2 linked regions of the Stegostoma tigrinum genome follow. The protein of the gene in region 2 interacts with the protein of the main gene of each other region in a pairwise test. Links are inferred from orthologs where the notes say so. Each region holds a gene or a part of one and is shown on either strand. Other genes may lie near its edges.

The links. The genes of interacting proteins can lie anywhere in the genome.
Region 1: the proteins of klhl40b (region 2) and uncharacterized protein C7orf31 interact in a two-hybrid assay, tested with the Homo sapiens proteins (2 studies listed by BioGRID and IntAct). The two-hybrid records come from large-scale screens. The link is inferred for Stegostoma tigrinum from reciprocal best matches to the Homo sapiens genes KLHL40 and SPMIP4.

Annotation. Positions count from the first base shown.
Region 1 is NC_081355.1:55,323,850-55,334,796, reverse strand, and holds the start of uncharacterized protein C7orf31, read left to right. Parts: upstream 1-6,529; 5' UTR 6,530-6,908; coding exon 6,909-7,051; intron 7,052-10,947. UniProt on the Homo sapiens protein: Microtubule inner protein (MIP) part of the dynein-decorated doublet microtubules (DMTs) in flagellum axoneme. May serve to reinforce and thus stabilize the microtubule structure in the sperm flagella.
Region 2 is NC_081355.1:150,691,209-150,702,015, forward strand, and holds the start of klhl40b (kelch-like protein 40b), read left to right. Parts: upstream 1-6,413; 5' UTR 6,414-6,518; coding exon 6,519-7,655; intron 7,656-8,922; coding exon 8,923-9,083; intron 9,084-10,807. UniProt on the Homo sapiens protein: Substrate-specific adapter of a BCR (BTB-CUL3-RBX1) E3 ubiquitin ligase complex that acts as a key regulator of skeletal muscle development.

The DNA of each region.
Region 1 (10,947 bases), about 95 Mb from region 2:
AAACATCAGCTTTTGTGCTCCTGAGATGCTGCTTGGCCTGCTGTGTTCATCCAGATTCACACTTTGATATCTTGGATTCTCCAGCATCTGCAGTTCCCATTATCTCTGATCACAAAGCTAGCATTAGTATGTCTATTTTTCACATAAAACTTTGCATCTATTTTCAATATAAACAACAATGTAACGTTTACACTAAATATACATGAATACTCCTGTCACTTCTTTAAAGGTGTTATTAATGCAAGAGAGTGATATTCTAATTTTGAGCATTTAGTATGCTTGAAATGTTGAAAACACTTAAAAGGTTATAATACATGTCAAAGAGAGAAACTTCGTTAGTAGACATTACAGGATGAGACCCATATCGTTGCAGTTTGAGGTTGAAACATTGGTGTTTTGGGCCCTGAGATACCAAAGGATGTTCAGGAAAATTGTCTTTAAAAAATTTTGGAAAGGGGTACTAATTTGTTGTTTTTTCATCTCATGACACCTAGTAACATGTATAGGAATAGCAGTAAATTTTCACATTATTGGTTAGAACAAATTTTCATGACATTTAGGTTCATAGAATCTTCCAGCACAGAAGGCCATTTCTCCTGTCATGTTGTGCTGTCGCTTCAAAGAGATGTCTTCTTTAAATCCACATCTCAGCAATTTCCCAGAATCCTGAAAATTAGTCATTTTAGTGTACATGTCTAACTGCCTTTTGATAAAGCTTTCTAGATAGCAACCCTTTGAAAAAAATCTGCTAATTTGTCTTCTACTTCTTTTGTCAGTTAAATTTATGAATGCTGTTATCAACCTGTTGCCAGAGGTCACAGGCTGTCTCTACTTGCTCTAGAAAAACTTAATTATTTTGAATATCTTTTGTCAAGTCTCCAATTAAATTGCTTCACACTAAGCAGGCCAATCTCAGTATCTTCAATTTTTCCACATAATTGAATTACCTCACCGTTGTGCACAGGATAGAGAAAACATTAGCCATGTAGGTCCATGGTAAGTAGCCACATTGTACAAATTTTATTTGACACCTCACCCACGAAGCAGAGAGGGTAATAGAGAGTCAACTCTATGGTGAATTATGCCCATTCCTTACTTTAAAAAAAACTTATACATTAAGCTGTAATGGAACTCTTACAGTACTGGCCTTACCTCTGAGTCAGAAAACCCGAGTTCAAGCGCTCCAGAGCCTATTATAACATGTATGACAGGCTGATTAGAAAATAAAAACAGAAATAGCTGGAGAAACTCACTAGTCAAGCTGCATCTGTGGACAGAAAGAAGTGTCAATGTTCCGGGTCCAGGGGCACTTCTACAGATGCTGGAGAACTACTGAGTTTCTCCAGCTATTTCTGTTTTTGTTTCAGATTTGCAGCATCTACAGTTGTATTTTTTTGATTAGAAAATACCTACATTAAAATATAAAATGGTATATGCATTTCCCAGATTACAATATGACTATGACATCAACAACACTTTCAACGTAATTGGTTGGGTTACTGTAATCACAGTCAAAGCATATGCACTCAATATAACCAGAATAATTTATACATAAAAGAATTATTTTCCTTAACACTTGTATTTGTTTTATGAAACAAATAATTTCACACGAAATAATGAAAATAACTTTTCTTTCTTTCCAATACACATTTCAGCTAACCTATTTGGCTCATTTCTCTTTTTGTCTGGGTTTCTTCTTCCATTTATTTTTCAAAATCAGTGCCCATTGACACCATGAAGTATCGTCTGTGTTTTTTAGCCTTGATGTCACAGTTCTGACATCAATCTAGAACTTTGTTCAACCTTACAATGTGCTCTTTCTTCGTCTCCCTAAGAGTTAGAGTTTCATCTAAAAAGTAGCCCACTCCTTTCATCCCACATAGCGCCCAATCCATGATGTTCCAGAACAGGGTCAGAACATAACATATGCCATAAGGCAACATTTCAAATGTGGTACGATATTTGATGTATATGATTGGTAAGCAGTTCCTTGCTCTTGTCAGTTAACTTTAATTGCAAGTATGTATAAAACATTTCTATCCTACTGAACGCCTTTCTATTTGCTAAACCTTAAAACACGACTTTACTGGTAAGCAATGGGTATCATTCTCAGTCATTTTAATGACCATTTCACAAATCTGAAATGACCTAACTGATTTTTGAACAACCAAAATGGTATTGCCCACTCATTGTTCTTTGTTAGTTAACTGCTCCTGTTTCAATTGTTCCAGATTGTTCCAATCTATCAGCTGTTTGCTTACTATTTTTAACTGTGAATAAGGCATTAGCCTAGCCTTACAAATTATTGATTGTACGTGTTTTTTTTTATCTTGACCTTTCCTTTGTGAAGTCTAATTTTATAACTGATCCTTCTTGCTTAAAGACGACTTTATGAACTCAGCACCTTTTCAATGTCAGAGGTACTCATCCTGATCTGTAAACAGTACAGCCCAGTTTAACCATATGTTAAGCCACTTTTTTTAGTGTCAGGGAGACCTTGATCCCTGCAACTACTAATAACAAGTAATAGGGTGCAGCATGATATTCCACCATAACTGACTGACTTAATACTGGAATAAATAATTCGCTTCACATTAGTTTTTGTTTTGCATAAGGGAATATGAATTAAGGATTTCTTCAACTCATTCTGAGATAACAGAAGCTGCTATGGCTGTATAACTAAAGTCATACCAGTTATACTGCTGACTTCCACTTCTACTATAGATGCTGGAATGATGTCTTCAGCCCAACCAGTACATTCATTTTCAATGCACTGTTTCTCTTGCTATACGAGTACATTCTTGAGCTTCCTGCTCAATAACATCAACTTTAGTTTCAGCCTGCAATTAAGTGCATATACATTCAGGCACCTGAACAACTTTCAATCTACTGCCACCATGATCTGCTCCTTGGCTGCTGCAACCCAGTGCTGAATTATAACCTAGAATATTACGATATCCTCTACTCCTGCATGCCATCTAGAGGTACAGTCACATCACACTACAAGAAATGGGGACATTTAGACAGGCAGTCAACATAGATTTAAGAAAGAGAGACTATGTTTGACAAATTTGCTTGTTATTTGATACTTAAGAAGCAGAGTTGATAAAGGGGAATCAGCAGATGGAGTGTATTTGGATTTTTATAACTTATGCAATAGGGCGCCACATAAAAGGTATGAGCTCACAGTATTGGAGGTAATGTATTAGTGTGGATTGAGGGTTGATAAGTATAGAGAACAAAAAGAGTTGACGTGATGGGTCATTTTCAGGTTGGAAAGATGTAACTCATCATGTGCCACAAGGATCAGTCCTCGGGCTTCAATTACCGCTTTAACTTTCCATAGCTATATACCATCTGAACACCCTGTAAATCAGTGCTACCCTGTCATCAATATCCACTGTATACCTGCAGCTTGTAAACATCCAATACGGGAACATTACACACTGGAAGAAATCAGAAAAATCCAAGGTCAAACTTTTATTTGCAGAAGCAAATGTGAATATAGACAGACCACATGAAGATTAAAATTTGTCCAAACAATACCAAGCAGACTTCTACATCATAACCAATTAATATTTTACATTTCACAAATATTCTGCTCACATCCATTGGAAGTAGATGTCAATGAGCCTCTGGTTGGTTTGTAGCACCTGACACAGCTGAGTTTTGTCATGGTCAAGGACATCTTCCTTTTCCCCAACATTGTTCTGTTCTTTCTCAGGAGACTTCCTCCATTTTCCAAGTTCCTCAGCATCCAGCACAGTGTGAGGTTATGCATTTTGGCAGGAAGAGTACAGAAGCTGAATATTATTTAAATGGAGAAAGACTGCAGAAAGCTACAGCACAGAAGGAATTAGGAATCTTCGCATAAATCTCAAACACCGAGCATCCAAGTTCAGCAGGTAACAGGGAAGGTAAGTGGAATATTTGCCTTTACTTCAAAGGGAATGAAATCTAAAATTGGAAAGTCTTGCTAAAACTGTACAAGGCCCTGATCAGAACACAGATGAATTATTATGAACATTTTTTGTTTTATTTATTCATTCCTGAGATATGGGTGTTGTTGTCAGGGACAGCATTTAATACCCAACCCCAATTGTTAAGAGTTAACCACATTGCAATGGACCTGGAGTCATAGACCAGGTAAGGACCAGTAAAACCCATCTGGTTCACTAATGTCCTTCTTCCCTGAAGGACATTAGTGAACCAGATGGGTTTTTCAAACAATTAACAATGGATTTGTGGTCATCATTAGGCTCTTAATTCTAGATTTTTTTTCACTGAATTCAAATTCTACCATCTGCAGGATTCAAACATGTGTACCCAGGGCATTACCAGAGTTTCTGGATTAATAGCCTGATGATAATACCACTAGGCCATCACCTCCCCGTGTTTAGGCCCTGTATAAGGGGAGGCAGTCCAAAGACGGCTCACTAGGCCAATCCCACGTATAAAGGGAATGTCCTATAAGAAGACGTTGAATAGGTTGGGCCTGTAGTCATTCTAATTTAGAAGAATGAAAGGTGACCTCTTTGAAACATACAAGGTTCTTAGGTGCCTTGACAGGTAAATGTGGAAAGGTTGTTTCCCCTTATGGAAGAGTGCAAGACCAGAGGACATAATCTCAGAACAAGTCACCTTTTTAAGACAGACACAAGGAGGAATTTCTTCTCTCAGAAGTAGTGAATTTGTGGAATTCTTTACCACAGACCCCTGTTGAGGCTGTGTCATTGAGTATATTCAAGGCTGAGGTAGGCAAATTTTTAATCAGTAAGGGTAACAAGGGTAATGGGGAAATAGCAGGACAGTAGAAATTAGGATAATCAGTTCATCCTTGATGTCATTGGAATGGCATGCTTCTGATTCTACATCTTAAATTTGTGGTAAAAGAACCAACACAGCTGATATTTGGTCATGAACATCACATTGGGCGACAAGCCAGCCTGTTTCAAGTTACTCTGTTCAAAATGGCATTATAACTAGAAATATAGGCTACAGTGGTTTATGTCTCAACTGGTTGCTTCTTTTAATCATTGTATTATTATACCTTTATTTTGACTTTCACTAATTTTTCCTATAAAGCAATTTTCTGTCTGTAACCCTCCCTGGTTTTTCGTGGTGTTCCTTCATTGGGAGACAGTCTGGAATGTATCAGTATGCAGTGGTGTTTTTGCAAATTCACAATATATGCATTCTATGTTTTTCACTCATTCCTAGGATGAAAGTGTGTTCTTAGCTTTTGAAGCTGCTGTCTTAAGTCATCGATCTGTGAGGCTGAGGCGATGCGCAATTCCAATAACATCATGTCGACATTCACTCGCATATCAGGAGTTGAGGACAGATCCCTTGAGCTATGCATTCTGTTAAGGAAATTTTACTGTTTTTAAATGGGTTTTTTCATAGATTTTAATTCTAATTCCCCACTCTGTCATCCTCAAAACTGCTCACTCAATTCCTATCACTGGTCACCCGTTATTGGTCTCCTCTCATTGCTTCAATTGCTCCCCCACCTTGAGACTGTCAATCCTCCTTCTGTAGCCCTGATGCTGCTCAAGCTACTCGTGACATTGCTTAATCCCCTCCAGTAGTGAAGGAGTGTCGAGACACGTAAGCAGTGCAGGGCAGGGATGAATGTAGGAGGGGTCTCGTGTCCTTTGATACTCCTAATTTAAACAGCTGCATTCCAAGCCAGCTTTCAAATGCTAACAAATCCTTTCATGAAACTAGAAAGTACAGGCAAAAGTTTCAGGTCCTGGAGAACTGTCTACAAGTTCTCCTATGGAAACTTTCCCCCAAGACAGAAGTTTGGGGTTCTAGTGCAAATCTGCAACACTCAATAGCAGCAAACCTTTTAGCATTCACTATCATTGGGAGATATGGGCCCTAAAAGGATTTAGACAGCTTGAGACAGTTAATGCTATCAGGCTGCTTCCCTTGTTTAGTGTCAGGAAATAGGGATCAGAGATTCAGAACACAGGTGTGACCAGCAGAAGATTAGAAATTTCTTCTCTGAGAGTGTTGTGAATCTGTAATTCTCTAAACGCAAAGGGCTGTGCCTGTCATAAGTATGGTCAACACCGTGACTGATAGACTCTGGATACTAAGAGAATCAAAGGATTTGGAGATTTGGTAGGAAAACTGAATCAATCCTAAAAACTTAACCATGGCCTTAATGGATGATAAGGAGTAGGGACGATTTGGAACTACTCTGCTCCTATTTCTGCACCAAAGCTCTTTACCTCACACTCATCCACGTGAAGATCCAGTTGACATGCTTCGTCCTGGTTCTTGAAACCTTTCAAATCCCTTCGCAATCCGTTTGGTCAATAATCGACCTAAACTTCTAACCGGTCAAGAGGCATCTCGTGGAAAGATGTACAAGGCAGGAAATGAGGTCCATTAAGAAAATTAAGTTGCAAGCGGAAAGCATTATGTGTTTTTGTTTTAAGAGGTCTGATATCACAAGATGGCTCCCAAACAGCGAGAGTCCGTAAACAGCGCGGAGCGTTGCTCTGAAAACAAAAGGCGGGCCGAACGCCTTCCCTCGCTGTCGGAAGTTGTGACTGGACTGAGCTCTTTGGGAAGGCAGGCTGGGGCGGGAACCACTGAAGGGTTGATGCTAAACCTTCCCCAGGTAGCAGCCGCTGCCAGAAGATGCGGCTCCTCCTCCTGCCGCCGCTGCTGATTATTGAGGCTGTGAATCAGACTCATTGTCATGGATTTGCCGTCATACCCCCGCATTGGCCAATACTATCAAACCTGGATGTGTCCTGTCCCCTTGATACAGGGAACCAGAGGCCGCGTCGTTTCCTCATTTGCCTCGGCCCTGCTCCATTGCACCTTTTAATTTATAGAAGACTTATTCTCCTCCCCCCACCCACTCTATTCCCCCCCCGATTTAAGCCATGGAGGTCGATCAACTGTCCGCTGGCGATCCTTTCTATTACTATCGCCAAACGGAAGGGCACAACATCCTGCGCCCGACCTTCCAGTCCAATATGCAGATAACTCCCACGCAGTTCGACCGCCCCACTGTATCTGCTGGCAGGTGAGAGAAATGGGTCTGTATAGTGGACGCTTTAAATCAGAGGGTGAAGTGGGGGGCACAAAACTCGTGCATTGAAACGGACTTTCCCTCAACCTAATCGTTAATTTCGTAATGCTTATGTCTAGAAATGACAGCTGTATAAATAAAAATCTGCGTTTGTGTAGTACCTTCCTCACAAGAGGAACACGTGCTAGGGCGCTTCAAAGTTCGGACTGTGAGAGTAAACCCTATTCTGGACGGGCAGAGAATGACCCCAATGCTTGATGGAAAAGGTGTGTTTTTAAAAGTGCAACAGAGATGGAGAGGAACAAAAAGGTTTGGAATGTATGTCATAGGTAAATGAAAGATGCCCCGCTGAAAGGAGAAGAGTCAGAGGTCTAGGGGTAATTGTTACAGACAGGACAGAGAAAAAAATTCAACTATTTTATTGCCCTGCCCACCTGCAGAAAGCAGAATCATAGAATCATATAGCATGGAAACAGACCAGTCAGTCCGACTCATCCATGCCAACCAGATATCCCACATAAATCTAGTCCAACTTGCCAGTACTTGATCCATATCCCTCTAAGCCCTTTCTATTTATGTATTCATCCAGATGCCTTTTAAATGTTTCTGAAGTTTTTGAGTAGATTTGTATCTCAGGTTGTGGATGTTGTGGTTGGTTGGCTCCCCAAGCTGGTTCTTTGTTCCCCAGATGTTTCATTACCCTGCTGGGTAACATTTATCAGTCTCCAATGCAGCACTGATAATGGGAACTGCAGATGCTGGAGAATCCAAGATAACAAAGTGTGAAGCTGGATGAACACAGCAAGCCAAGCAGCATCTCAGGAGCACATGAGATGCTGCTTGGCCTGCTGTGTTCATCCAGCTTCACACTTTGTTATCCAATGCAGCACTGTTGTGTTTTCCCGCCTGTTCTTTAAACTCTGGAGTCCATTGAGCTGGGTTACCTCACTGCCGGTTTTCCTTCGCAGTAGAGTTAGAAGGTCTAGTTCTATGTGTTTGTTGATGGCCGCCTTAGTGGAGAACCAGGCCTCTAAGATTCCTGTGCTTGTCTCTGCTTGGCCTGTCCCAGGATCCTGGTGTTTAAATGTTGTAATCATACCAGCCTCCACCACTTCCTCTGGCAGCTCATTCCATACACATACCACCCTCAGAATGAAAAAGCAGCCCTTAGGTCCCTTTCATATCTTTGCCCTCTCACCTTAAACGCATGCGCTCTAGTTTTGGGCTCCCCCACCCTGTGGAAAAGACCTTGCCTACTTACCCTATCCATGACCCTTTATAAACCTGGAAATCATAAGTGACTTTTACATTCAGGCAAGGAGTTACCAGAGATAATGGGAACTGCAGATGCTGGAGAATCTGAGTATAAGGTTACGCTTCAGCCTCAATGCTCTAAGGAAAGTAACCCGGTAGTTACTTTTTTTTCTCTATTTTATAACAGGCTATGAAAAGCTTCCCCAAATCTTTATTTTGTGAAGTGCAATTTCTATAATGATTCACCACACATTCTCTTTAGGGTAAAGCAAGCATATAGTTTAATTTTATATTCAAAACCACGGAAGATGATTATCACAACACATAAAAGCTTCAAGGGAAAAAAAAATTAAGAATAACTTAAGAAAAGGACACCTGGCTATTAAGTTTAGTAGTTGTCCATTCAGAAAGTTAGGGTATAGTGAAGGTTATTTTCTGTAGGAGCTCAAATTCCAGCAGGTTTAGTTTGCCAAGGCAGGATTTGTAGAATCATTCTTAACATTGTTGAAGGCTCAGCAATATGAGGTTGGCATGTAGAGTCTTGGTTAAATTTTCAGTCAAATACGAGATTTCCTTCAGAACTAGGTTTCGAGAAAGACTACCTGGTTCCTTTTGTACTCTGTTTCCATTGAAACCAAGGCCACCATTCCAGGTGCCTGCAAAAATAGCTGCTGAAGTTGTGTATTAGTTTTTTCTGTGATTTATGCACAAGAATTCCCAAATCTTTTGGTGCTGTAGCTTTCTGCAGTGTTTCTTCATCAAAATAATATTCAGCTCTTCCATGCTTCCTGCCAAAATACATGACCTGATATTTTCCCACATTAAATTCCATCTGCCAAAGTTTTTCCCACTTACTTAATCCTCTGTAGACTCTTGCTGTGTCATCCTTCCCCCTTGCCTTCCCACCTCTTAATATATAATGTAATTCATAATGGCCCAGCTTTGATCACTGTGGCAGTCCATTAGTTGTAGGTTGCCATTTGAAAATGCTGCCTGCTTCCCCCCACCACATCCCAATTATTTATTTGATGTAAGGAAACCAAGTTATAGTCACTTGCGGTCCTGAGTATTTTGTAGATGAGAATCTGCTTTTTTTAAATGCAAGCCTTTGGGAGGGCCAGTCAAGAACGAACATGACATTGTGTGGGAAGGTGGCGTTTTTACATAGATTGTATAGAATGTACTGCACAGAAACAGGCCTCCTGTCTCAGCCTGTCCATGTTTGTATTAATCCTCCATTGAAGGCTTGTTCTGACTTCCTCCTCAAACTCTTTCAGCATAACCTCTACTTTTTTTTTCACCAGGCTTCTTTAGCATCCATGCCATTCATTTTAATCACTCCTTGTTATAGAAAGGAGTACGGTAAAGAGGTTTCTTCCAAATCCCCTCGTTGATTTGCATTGCTAACTACCTTACATTGGTGATTTGTTGTTTTGCTCTTCCATGAATGTAGAAACGGTGGACTGGATTTCACATGGAACAGTTGACTCTATTTACCAGCTGGGAGCCTTGTGAACTTTATATTCAGGCAAGGCGTTACCAGAGATAATGGGAACTGCAGATGCTGGAGAATCCGAGTATAATAAAGTGTGAAGCTGGATGAACACAGTAGGCCAAGCATCATCTCATGTGCTTTTGAGATGCTGCTTGGCCTACTGTGTTCGTCCAGCTTCACACTTTATTATCAAGGAGTTACCAGAGGTTGTCTCTTCAGTTCTCCTGACTAAGAATGTTGCACATGCAGCAGCTGCTAACCAATCAGAGAGCTGGCTTGTCTTAGGTCTCCGCAGGACCAATGGGAGCAGTTGTACTCCTGGGACTGCAGTAGTTCCCAGGCCAGTGACAAGTAAAGATAAGTGGGGTCAGGGATCATTGAAGATAATTAGGCAAAGCTTGCAAGTGGGGAGCGGGTGTGATGATAGGCCTTGGGGAGAGTGTAGATCATGGAGACAGAGGGAGCATTCCTAGGGTGGTGGTGGTTGCTGCAAGGTTGGAGAGTGGGTCCACAGGAGGAACCACACCACAAAACTGTCTTAGAGGCTGCCATGTAAAACACCAACGGTGACAGGAAGAGACACTGCAGTGGCAACAGAACAGCCTGAATTGGTCAAAGATGATGAGCATTTACCATTCCACCATATTTTCCACTTCCCCATCCCCGCCTCCCAACCACAGGATGGAGCAATGTGAGTGAAGTTTCAACAATTTTCTATGTTTTGGATTTTGAGGTTCAAAGGGCCATGATATTGGCTTTAGAAAAACCCAATCCAGTTGAGTGATTTTCAGATATGTAGTTTGACTGCTTATTCATTCAGTTTGTATTTTGGAATTTCTCCTGTGCATGCTTGCCTACACAATAGCTTGTAAGAAGTAATTGATTTGATGTTAAAAACTTTGCAAATGGCCTGGTGACATAATGAGGCAATATGTATAAGCAGGCTTGTTCTTTCTTCCAATTCCCAAAACACACCCTTTATTTAAAATCTGACATTTGCATCTTTAAATATCGATTCTTGGCTGTAAATCAGCTCCAAAGCCAATTTGCTGAACCAACTGAAGATTAGAACACCGTGGAGCTCCACTTAGGTTTCAGATTAAAAACCAGGAAAAAATAATGAAGTGTTAAGCAAAACAGA
Region 2 (10,807 bases):
TTGAACTGAGTGGCTTATTGAGTTCAGGGGGCAGTTAGGAGTCAACTACATTACTGTGGGTCTGCAGTCACATATGGGCCAGGCTAAGTAAGGCCAGATTTCCTTCCCTAGAGGGCATTCGTGAACCAGATGGGCTTGTTAACAGTTTCATGGTCACTTATTGGGACAATTTGTAAGAATACCAATGAAAGGGGTAACAAAACTTGTACGGTGCAAGAGGACAGGTTGATTTATTGACTATGAGACTGATTGGTACAGGCTTTGCCGAAGAGAATGTGTCAGTTAATGATGACTGACAGCTAACTGCCAAGAGATAATGGGAACTGCAGATGCTGGAGAATCTGAGATAACAAAGTGTGGAGCTGGATGAACACAGCAGGCCAAGCAGCATCTTAGGAGCAGGAAAGCTGACGTTTCAGGCCTAGACCCTTCATCAGAAAAGGTAACTGCTGCCAAGCTTTGTTTAAATTTTAAAGCAAATAGATTGACTTTGATTGATCAAGGCATTGTCCTGAGAAATAAACCAAAGAATAGCAGTCATCTATGTTGACGAATTCAAACCGGCACAGCCTATGTACACACTGATTCTATCTGCAAAGAGGATACAATTATTAACAAACGGGGCCCTGAAAACTCCAGACACTGGTTCAATATGATACATCTTTCATAAACCCAAGTTGACTCTGCTTGATATCTTCATTTTTTCCCCCCAGTGTCCTGCTGTACCATCTGTAATAATAGCTTCTAACATAATCCGTCTGATAAATACTAAACCGACTGGCCTGCAGATCCCCACCTGTGACCATTCAAAATGAAATTTAAGAACCCTGTGAGAGATTTCATCTCCCACGTGCTGAGGTGAAGTGAAAGGCCTCAGAGGGGATAGACAAACCTCCAAATGACCCATCCTGGGATTGTATTCATTACAGTTTAGAAGGTTGAGGGTAGATCTATTGGAAACATACAAGATAATGTATGGCTTAGAAAGGGTGGACGCTGGGAGGTTGTTTCCATTAGGTGGGGAGACTAGGACCCATGGGCACAGCCTTAGAATTAGAGGGGGTAAATTTAGAATGGAAATGAGGAGACATTTCTTCAGCCAGAGAGTGGTGGGCCTGTGGAATGCAGTGGAGGCCGGGATGTTAAATGTCTTCAAGGCAGAGATTGATAAATTCTTGATCTTGCAAGGAATTAAGGGCTACGGGAAGAATGCGTGTAAATGGAGCTGAAATGCCCATCAGCCGTGATTAAACAGTGGAGTGGACTTGATGGGCCGAATGGCCTTACTTCCACTCCTATGTCTTATGGGCTTATTTATCCAACTCTTCCAGCATGATCTGCTCCATACGTAGTAGAGCCTGCCAAAAATGCATTGGATTGCAGAACCCACCAAACAGGAGTGGGAGCAAGTTGTCCTCAATCCTCACTACAGTCACTTCCTGGTGTAACAAAGCGTAGAGCTGGACCCTTTGGGTGTAGGCCCAAAACGTCAGCCTTCCTATTCCTCTGATGCTGGTTGGCCTGCTGTGTTCATCCAGCTCTAAACTTTGTTATCTCAGATTCTCCAGCATCTGCAGTTCCTACTATCTCTGAAACACCTGCTGGTATGTTGGGTTGAGATCCTGCTTTAACCTCTGACCATCCGTGTGCATACATACACAGATATGGGAATATCTATCCATCTGGAATGGCACTGTGGAGGTGGAATAGGCTGGAGTAAACACAGAACGCTGGAGAAACTCAGCAGCCTCTGTGGAGAGAAACACAGAGTTGATGGAGGAAGAGTAAGTCATACCGGATTTGAAATGTTAACTCTGTTTCTCTACCTACAGATGCTGCCAGACGTGCTGAGTTTCTCCAATTTCTGAGTTTGTTTCAGAAATCCAGCAGAGGCAGTTTTTTGCCCTTTAATTTAGGCTTTTGCTTTTACTTGAGTGCAATATGCTGGATATGGTTTCGGAGGGATACAACCTGAGACACCACCATCTTTGTAGCATTATCATTAAGGTTCCGAATACCAAAGGAGGAAGCTTGGGTGTGACAGTAAATGTCATCAACACAAATGGATTGTGGGTGTTGGTAGGTCATTTATATCCACATTGAACAGTGTTGAGGCTAGGGCTGAGTCTTGTGGTTGTCTAATTGACAGTTTTCTTCAGTGCCCAAGGTGATCTCTAATGCAGCTATTGTGAAGGAATGTCTTCAAACTGTTCCAAACTAGTTTGGAAGCACTCTGAGCAGTTTTAGGAGCAGCACACTATCATACTTGGGAGTGACTCTCAATAGGACTTTGTCTTTCCTGGAACATTCAAGAAAACAGCAAAGATCAGAACCAGAAATCAACCTGTTCGTCACACTGGCCCTGATCTTCATTGGCTCCTGCTGCCACAACATTCTGGAACTCAGCACTTGTCCTACCATGCTCTGCAACAGTGTATTCTGTGCCTGTCTGGCAATACACACAAATTTTGTAGACGGTCAACTGAATGCAACAATGTTCATCATAAATGGAACCCTCTCCAAAACTCCGCTCCTCTGTCCTCTCAAACATCATTCTCCCACAGACTGATCATTGCATTTGGACAATGATTATTGTGCCCTAAAGGTTTAAGATGTGAATGGAGAATGACAATGAACAATCTACAGCAAGAATAATCAACTGGCAGAGAGTAGCCTCCAATGGGGTATGAGCAAAGCTGGGCCAAAAGACAGGAACCAAATGTTGTGGGGGAGAAACAGTCACAGAACAATGGGGCTCCTGTCAAACAGATGATGCAGGTGCAGTCAAGGTATATTCCCTCAAAAAGGAAAGGCAGAGCAAATTCAGATGTCTCTAGATGATGAAGGAGATATTAAAGAAGGAAAATAAATGTTCTTAGGACAGGCGTCAGGTTCTAAATCATAGAATCCTTACAATGCGAAAGCATACATCCCTTTCGGTCCACACTGATCCTCTGAAGAGCATCCCACTTAGACCCATTCCCCCCAACCTTATTCCCCGTAATCCTGCAATTCCCCCAAGTAATTCACCTAACCTACGTATCCCTGCGCAATTTAGTATGGTCAATCCACTTAACCTGCACATCCGGACTCTGGGAGAAGACTGGAACACCCAGAGGAAACCCACACAGACACGGGTAGAATGTGCAAACTCCACACAGACAGTCGCCTGAGGGTGGAATCGAACTTGGGTCTCTGCCGTTGTGAGGCTGCAGTGCTAATCACTGAGCCAGTATGCCACCCTAAATTCGAGCTGAAGGTCCAGAAGGGAGGTGAGGGAGTAATAAGTAATAATAAAAGAAACAAAGAAGGGTTACAAAAAGATCTTTCACATAAAGGGAAATCCTAACGTCTACTTTTGGAAGATCAATAGTAAAAGGAGGAGTGAGGTTGATTAGGGGTCATAAAGGATTTACACAAAGAGGCAAGTGATATGACAGAGGTCTTAAATTAATACTTTTGTCTTTGCCAAGGAGGCAGAAGCTGCCCAGTCCATGGTGACAGAGGAGAAAACTCAGCCACTAAAAGGATTCAAATTTGATAAGGAGGCTATCTTGGACAGTTCCTGAAGTAGACAAGACACTTGGAGCAGATTGGAATCAGCTAAGGATATTCAAGGAGGTACTGGCCATGTTCTTTTCATCCTGTCTGGTCCTGAGAGTGGTGCCAGAGGGCGGAAGAATCGCAAATGTAATGGGCTTTGCTCAAAAAGGTTTGTAAAGGTAAGGCCTGTGATTACAGTCCCATCAGTTTAAGGGAAATTTCTGGCTACTTGAGCTAGAATTAATGGTCATATGGAAAAATATGGGATAACTTGGAAATCCAGCATGGCTTTGTTGAAGTAAAGTCATTTTTAACTACCTTACTGCAGATTTTTTGATAACAGGGTTGGGTGGGGATGGGCGGGTTGTTGAGGATAATGCCGTTGATGTGACGTACATCGACTTTCAGAAGGTATTTGGCACAATGCCACGACAGACTTGAGAAAAATTACAACTCATTGAATAAAAGGCTCTGGAGCAATGTGGATACAAATTGGATGAGGTATAGGAAACAGAATGGAATGATTAATTGGAAGTTTTGTAGCGAGCTCCCTCGGATTTGGTATTCGAATGCATGTTTTTCCTGCATAGGTATACAACTGACATGTAACTTGGTAGGCATTTTTAAGTTTGCAGATGATACAAAAACTGGGAGCATTGAAAACTGGAGGATAGTGCAGAACTTCAAAAAGATATACTCAAGTTGATTTGATTTGACATGTTATTGTCACATGTACCTAGGTACAGTGAAATGTTTTGTTTTGCATGCACAATAGGCATATCATACCATTCAAAATACATTAGGGTAATAGAACAAAGTGAAGAATAGTGATACAGAGGCAGAGAGGTCCATTCAGAAGAACAGCGGAGAAAAAGCTGTTCTTGAATCTGTTCATACCCTTATACAAACCTTTATATCTTCTGCCCTGCAGAAGAGGGCAGAAACGAGTATAACCAGGGTGGGAGGGGTCTTTAACGATGTTGGTTGCTTTCCTGAGGCAGTCGATGAAGTCAGGCAGTGGTGAGTACAGATGAAGTCAATACATGGAAGGCTGGTTTGTGTGATGCACCAGGCTGTGTCCACGACACTCTATACTTTCTTGCGGTCTTGGTTTGGCAACAGCTCTTCCCATGCTGTAATGCGTCCAGCTAGAATGCTTTCTATGGTGTATCTGTAAAAACTGTAAGAGTCCTTAACCTCCTGAGGAAGTAGAGGCATTTTTGTGCATTATTGACAAGTTGGTGGAGTCGGGAGATAGGTGGCAGATGAAATTCGATTTGGAGAATTGAGAGATCACATTTGCAGGAAGGACAGAGAGATTCAGTATAACAGACAGGTGTGACCCTAAATGGGGTATAGGAACACCTGGGTGTATATGTGCATAAGTCATTAAAGGTGGCAGAACAGGGAGACAGAGCTATTAATAAAGGACACAGTATTCTAAGCTTCATTAACAGGCGTATAGAGGACAAGGATCTATTTAGGATACTGAATAGACCTCAGCTGGAGTAACTATGTACAGTTTGGGTGTCCCATTTAAGGAGGGATGTGAATGGAGTGGAGAAAGCACAGAAAAGATTTATAAGAATGGTTCCAGGAATGATACACTTCAGTTTTGAGGACAGATTTGAGACATTGTGACTGTTTTTCTTGGAGAGGAGAAGGTTCAGAGAAAATCTGTTTTAAAAAGAAGCTTTCACAATCATGGGATCATTGAATCATAGAATCCCTTTGCTACATGACCCAAGATCTTTAGACAGAGTAGATAAAGATCAAATGTCCCCAATTCTCAGATGATTGAGACCTAAAGGGAACAAATTTTAAAAGAAGGAGAATGTGAGTGTGAATAAAACTTGTTCATAAAAGTGAGTGGCCTGGGTTTTGAACACTGCCTGGGATGTGTCAGGGAGGCAGGTTCAACTGAGGGATTTGAAAGGGCGTAAGAGATTATGGGTGTACATGGAATAGTGTAGGTTAGATGGGCTTGAAAACGGTATGACAAGTCGGCACAACATCGAGGGCCGAAGGGCCTGTACTGTGCTGTAACGTTCTATGTTCTATTACTTGGATTGAATTGAATTAGCTTTATTGTCACATGTACTCAAAACAACTACAGAGAAAAGTTACATGTCACCACTTGCGGTGGCATCTTACGTACAAAGGTACCTAGGTACAATCACTGGTTACAGAATAGAGAAATGAAGAAAAAATAAAGTTACATTACAGCTATACACAGTATGACTCTAGGTCAGATAAACAAGAAGCAAGGTTAAAAAGACAAACATATCAGTCTCTCTCCAAAGTCTCTCCTTAGCAGATCAAAGCAGGGGGCCTCCAGACAGTCTGACTACTGACAGCTGCCACGTGCCACTCTGGGCCACCACTGCCACACTCAGAACTGGGTTGCTGGTTGCTGGCAGCCCTGCTCCAGCCCCTGGTGTCTCTGCTTACCCTGCTTTAGAGGCTGGGCCCAGGTATCGAAGTCTGAGAGAGGGGAGGGGATGGAAAAAAAAGGAAGAGAACAGTCGGAGCAGAGAAGCTCTGACCCGAGTGTCCTACACTGCCACTATCATAGTGGGTAACAGAAACAATACGCAGGGCTATGGGTGAAAAGGGCAGGAGTGCGGAACAAAGTGAAAACCCCTTACGTATTTGGTGGAGGGGCACAAAATAATGCTGGGGGTGAGGGTGAAGAGAGAGACAAAGAACAATCCTTGATCGTGAGGTACGATCTAAGACTGGAGGATGATTCATGCCTTTTGGACAAGAGTGTTGTGGCCAGTTGTCAAGTGTCTGACTTGACATGTGGCTCTGCTGAGGATGGCTTTATCTCCAAATTCCCCCCCCCCCCCCCCCCCCCCCTCAGTGCATTCCCGAGCTCTGTGCTATCTATAAACCCGGGAGGAATGTGGAGGGGGGAACAGCTGGGGGCCAGCCATCAATGCTGACACACACACACAGGGAAAGGCAGAGCCATGGCGATCCCCGTCGACCCAACAGAGGAGCCTCGCATTTACCAGCAGACTCTGCTGCAGGAGGGGCTGAGGGACCTGCTGGAGAACGGTAAGCTGGTGGACTGCGTGCTCAAGGTGAAGGGCCGGGAGCTGCCGTGTCACGGCCTGGTGCTGGCGGCCTGCAGCCCGTACTTCCGAGCGAGGCTGCTGGCGGAGGCGGGCCCGGGACAAGGCCCGAGGAGGGAGCTGGTGCTGGACGACGAGGAGCTGGAGCCTGATCTGGTCGAGGCCTTGCTGCGTTACCTGTACAGCTCCGAGCTGCCCCTCAGCGACGCCAACGTCAAGGAGGTGCTGGCGGCCGCCAGCCTGCTGCAGATCCCGTCCGTCTTCACCGTCTGCGTGTCGTTCCTGCACCAGCGCCTGGGCCTCAGTAACTGCCTGGCCGTCTTCAGGCTCGGCCTGATGCTCGACTGCCCGCGCCTGGCCGTCGCCGCCCGGGACCTGGCGTGCGAGCACTTCCCGCTGGTGAGCAAGGACCCCGACTTCCTGGGCCTCAGCGCCGCCGAGCTGACCGCCATCATCTCCAGCGACTCGCTCAACGTCGAGCGGGAGGAGCTGGTCTTCGAGGCGGTGATGGCCTGGGCCTCCAGCCAGGCCGCTCCCGCCCAGGCCCTGGCCCAGCTCCTGGGCTGCGTCCGCTTCCTCCTCATGCCCCGCGACTACCTGGAGCGGCAGGTCCGGGCCTACCCCCTGCTCAGCTCCAGCCCCGAGCTCCTCCAGAAGATCCAGCAGGTCAGGGATGCCCACAGGAGGGAGGAGGGCGGGGAGCAAGAGAAGGAGGCCAAGAAGACCCCCGCCAAGGAGGAGCAGGCCCCCTCCCCTGGCAACCAAGAGGCCAAGGAGGAGCAGCCCCCCAGCCTCCTGAATAAAACCCCCAGGTTCGGCATGTTCGTCAAGGACCTCATCTTCATGATCAACGACGAGGCCACGGTGGCCTACGATCCCACCACCAATGAGTGCTACTTCGCCTCGGTCTCCTCGAAGGTCCCCAAGAACCACTCCAGCGTGGTGACCAAGCAGAACCAGGTCTTTGTAGCAGGAGGTCTCTACTACGACGACAGCAGTAAGGAGAACCCATTGCACTCCTACTTCCTGCAGGTGAGTTACAGCCCTCCAGCCCCTCTGTCCAATGTAGAGGCATGGGGCAGGGTGGGGAGGCAGTCTTTGGAACATCTATATTTACAATGGAAATTCCAAACTCACCACCACCTCCATCTAGGCAGCAGAAACATGGAACACCACTGGCTGTAAGTTCCCCCCCAATGCCTCACCATCCTGACTTTACTGTCACTGGGTCAAAATCCTGCAGCTTCCTACATTATAGTACTGTGGATGTACCCAAAGCACACGGACTGCATCAACTCAAGCCTGCACACCAAAGTAGATGATGTAAGATATTGGCCCACTTCTGCCCCATTCATTGTGATCATGGCTGATCTGATCATCCTTAACTCCGTTTTCCTGTCTTTTCCCCATAACCCTGGATTCCCTCACTGATTAGAAATCTCTCAGCCTTGGATGCACTTAGTGACCTAGCCTCCACATCCCACTGCCATAAAGAATGCCACTGATTCACTACCCTCAGATAAGCAATTCCTCCTCATCTCTGTCTTAAATCTGTAACCCTGTATTCTGACATTATACCCTCTGGTCTTAGACTCTTCCCAGATGGGGAAAATATGTAATTAGGAAAGGATGGTTGGCAACTGAAATGCTATATAGCTATCTATACAAAGAAAAACAAACAAATCTTATCAAGAGGAGTAAGGGTTACGGGCAGAAAGCAGGAGAATGGGGTTGAGGAACTTATAAGCCATGATTGAATGGCAGAGTAGACTCAATGGGCCAAATGGCCTAATTTCTGCACCTATGTCTCATAGTCTTAAATGAATTGTAAATTGGAGAACAAGAGTTGTGGTATTTCCCTGAGACATAAGGAGGCAGGATGAGAGAACTGAAAGACAAAGAAAATATGAGGAACCATTGGGACAGGAGAGAGGTTGAAGGGTTTGGGGGAGGACGTGTATGCTTTTAGCTCAGGGGCACAATGTAACTGGGAAGCCACTGTGTTAATCTGTGAATGAGGAGTTTCTGGGGGCTATTGATGAATATACTGTAACAATATTGTTGCTGCACTTTTTACCATTCTCTGGGATAGCAGTTGCCACATTCTCTATACTCTATGTGTACAGATGGTTCTCCTGAAGTGCTTGCCTACTCTGGGCTGAAAGGTTTGATCAGAAAAGACTGATTGCATTTCAGTGCTAACTTAGTGGATGGAAGTTATTTTAAATGCTGGTGCCTTGTGCTGTGTGACTTCATGTTTGCTGTTTCTTTCTAATATTTTGTCTTGACCTGCGAACAGTTTGATCCCCTGGACTCTGACTGGCTAGGGATGCCAGCCTTACCCTCTCCACGCTGCCTCTTTGGTCTGGGCGAAGCTGATAATGCCGTCTATGTCATTGGTGGGAAGGAAGTGAATGAAGAGGAGAAGACACTGGACACTGTGATGTGCTATGATCGACAGTAGGTTTCCATGAACAGGGCATAAATCAAGGTAATGGACTCTCGGTCAGATGGAACATCCTGAGCATTTGGCTACAGCACAGTCATTGTGACTGAAATAACTGGCACAGTTCCCTTGAGGGCTCAACTTGTGAAATTGATACTGTGAGTCAGGCCAAGCTTTCTGTCACGCTTGTGACAGCAGTAGTTCAGTGGGGTCAGGAGAAGAGGGAGTTGGTTGGGGTGGAAGGAAATGATGTGAGTGCAATGAAACATGGGATTACAACAGTGAGGTGATGGTTTTTGCCCAGTGCAGACTCTACGTGTCTTTTTCTTTGCTGTAGACCTCTCTGACTCTATGGCAGTTTGCAGTCTCTTCATTAGTTGCTGGGATGAACAGAGTCTGGTTGGTCCAGTGTGGGAGAGAAAAGCCACTTAATGATACGGAGCAGGGTCCTCTGTCTCTGCCCCTCATACGTACACTTACACCATTACCTCACACCAGTCTCCAGTCTTTCCTCCATATCTCCACACACCATTCCTTTCCATAAAACCATCCATTCCCCCTCGTTCTCACACACCACCCTACCAACCTCCGGATACAACGCATTATCCTCCGACACTTCCGCCATTTACAATCCGACCCCACCACCCAAGACATTTTTCCATCCCCTCCCCTGTCTGCTTTCCGGAGAGACCACTCTCTCCGCGACTCCCTTGTTCGCTCCACACTGCCCTCCAACCCCACCACACCCGGCACCTTCCCCTGCAACCGCAAGAAATGCTACACTTGTCCCCACACCTCCTCCCTCACCCCCATCCCAGGCCCCAAGATGACATTCCACATCAAGCAGAGGTTCACCTGCACATCTGCCAATGTGGTATACTGCATCCACTGTACCTGGTGCGGCTTCCTCTACATTGGGGAAACCAAGCGGAGGCTTGGGGACCGCTTTGCAGAACACCTCCGCTCAGTTCGCAAAAAACAACTGCACCTCCCAGTCGCAAACCATTTCCACTCCCCCTCCCATTCTCTTGATGACATGTCCATCATGGGCCTCCTGCACTGCCACAATGATGCCACCTGAAGGTTGCAGGAACAGCAACTCATATTCCGCCTGGGAACCCTGCAGCCATATGGTATCAATGTGGACTTCACCAGTTTCAAAATCTCCCCTTCCCCTACTGCATCCCTCAACCAGCCCAGTTCGTCCCCTCCCCCCACTGCACCACACAACCAGCCCAGCTCTTCCCCCCCACCCACTGTATCCCAAAACCAGTCCAACCTGTCTCTGCCTCCCTAACCGGTTCTTCCTCTCACCCATCCCTTCCTCCCACCCCAAGCCGCACCCCCCGTTACCTACTAACCTCATCCCACCTCCTTGACCTGTCCGTCTTCCCTGGACTGACCTATCCCCTCCCTACCTCCCCACCTACACTCTCTCCACCTATCTTCTTTACTCTCCATCTTCGGTCCGCCTCCCCCTCTCTCCCTATTTATTCCAGTTCCCTCCCCGCATCCCCCTCTCTGATGAAGGGTCTAGGCCCGAAACGTCAGCTTTTGTGCTCCTGAGATGCTGCTTGGCCTGCTGTGTTCATCCAGCCTCACATTTTATTATCTTGGAATCTCCAGCATCTGCAGTTCCCATTATCTCTCATTCCCCTCTTGAATGCCTCCATTGAACCTGCTTCCACACATTTTCAGGCAGTGCATTCTACACCCGAACTGCTCACTAAGTGAAAAC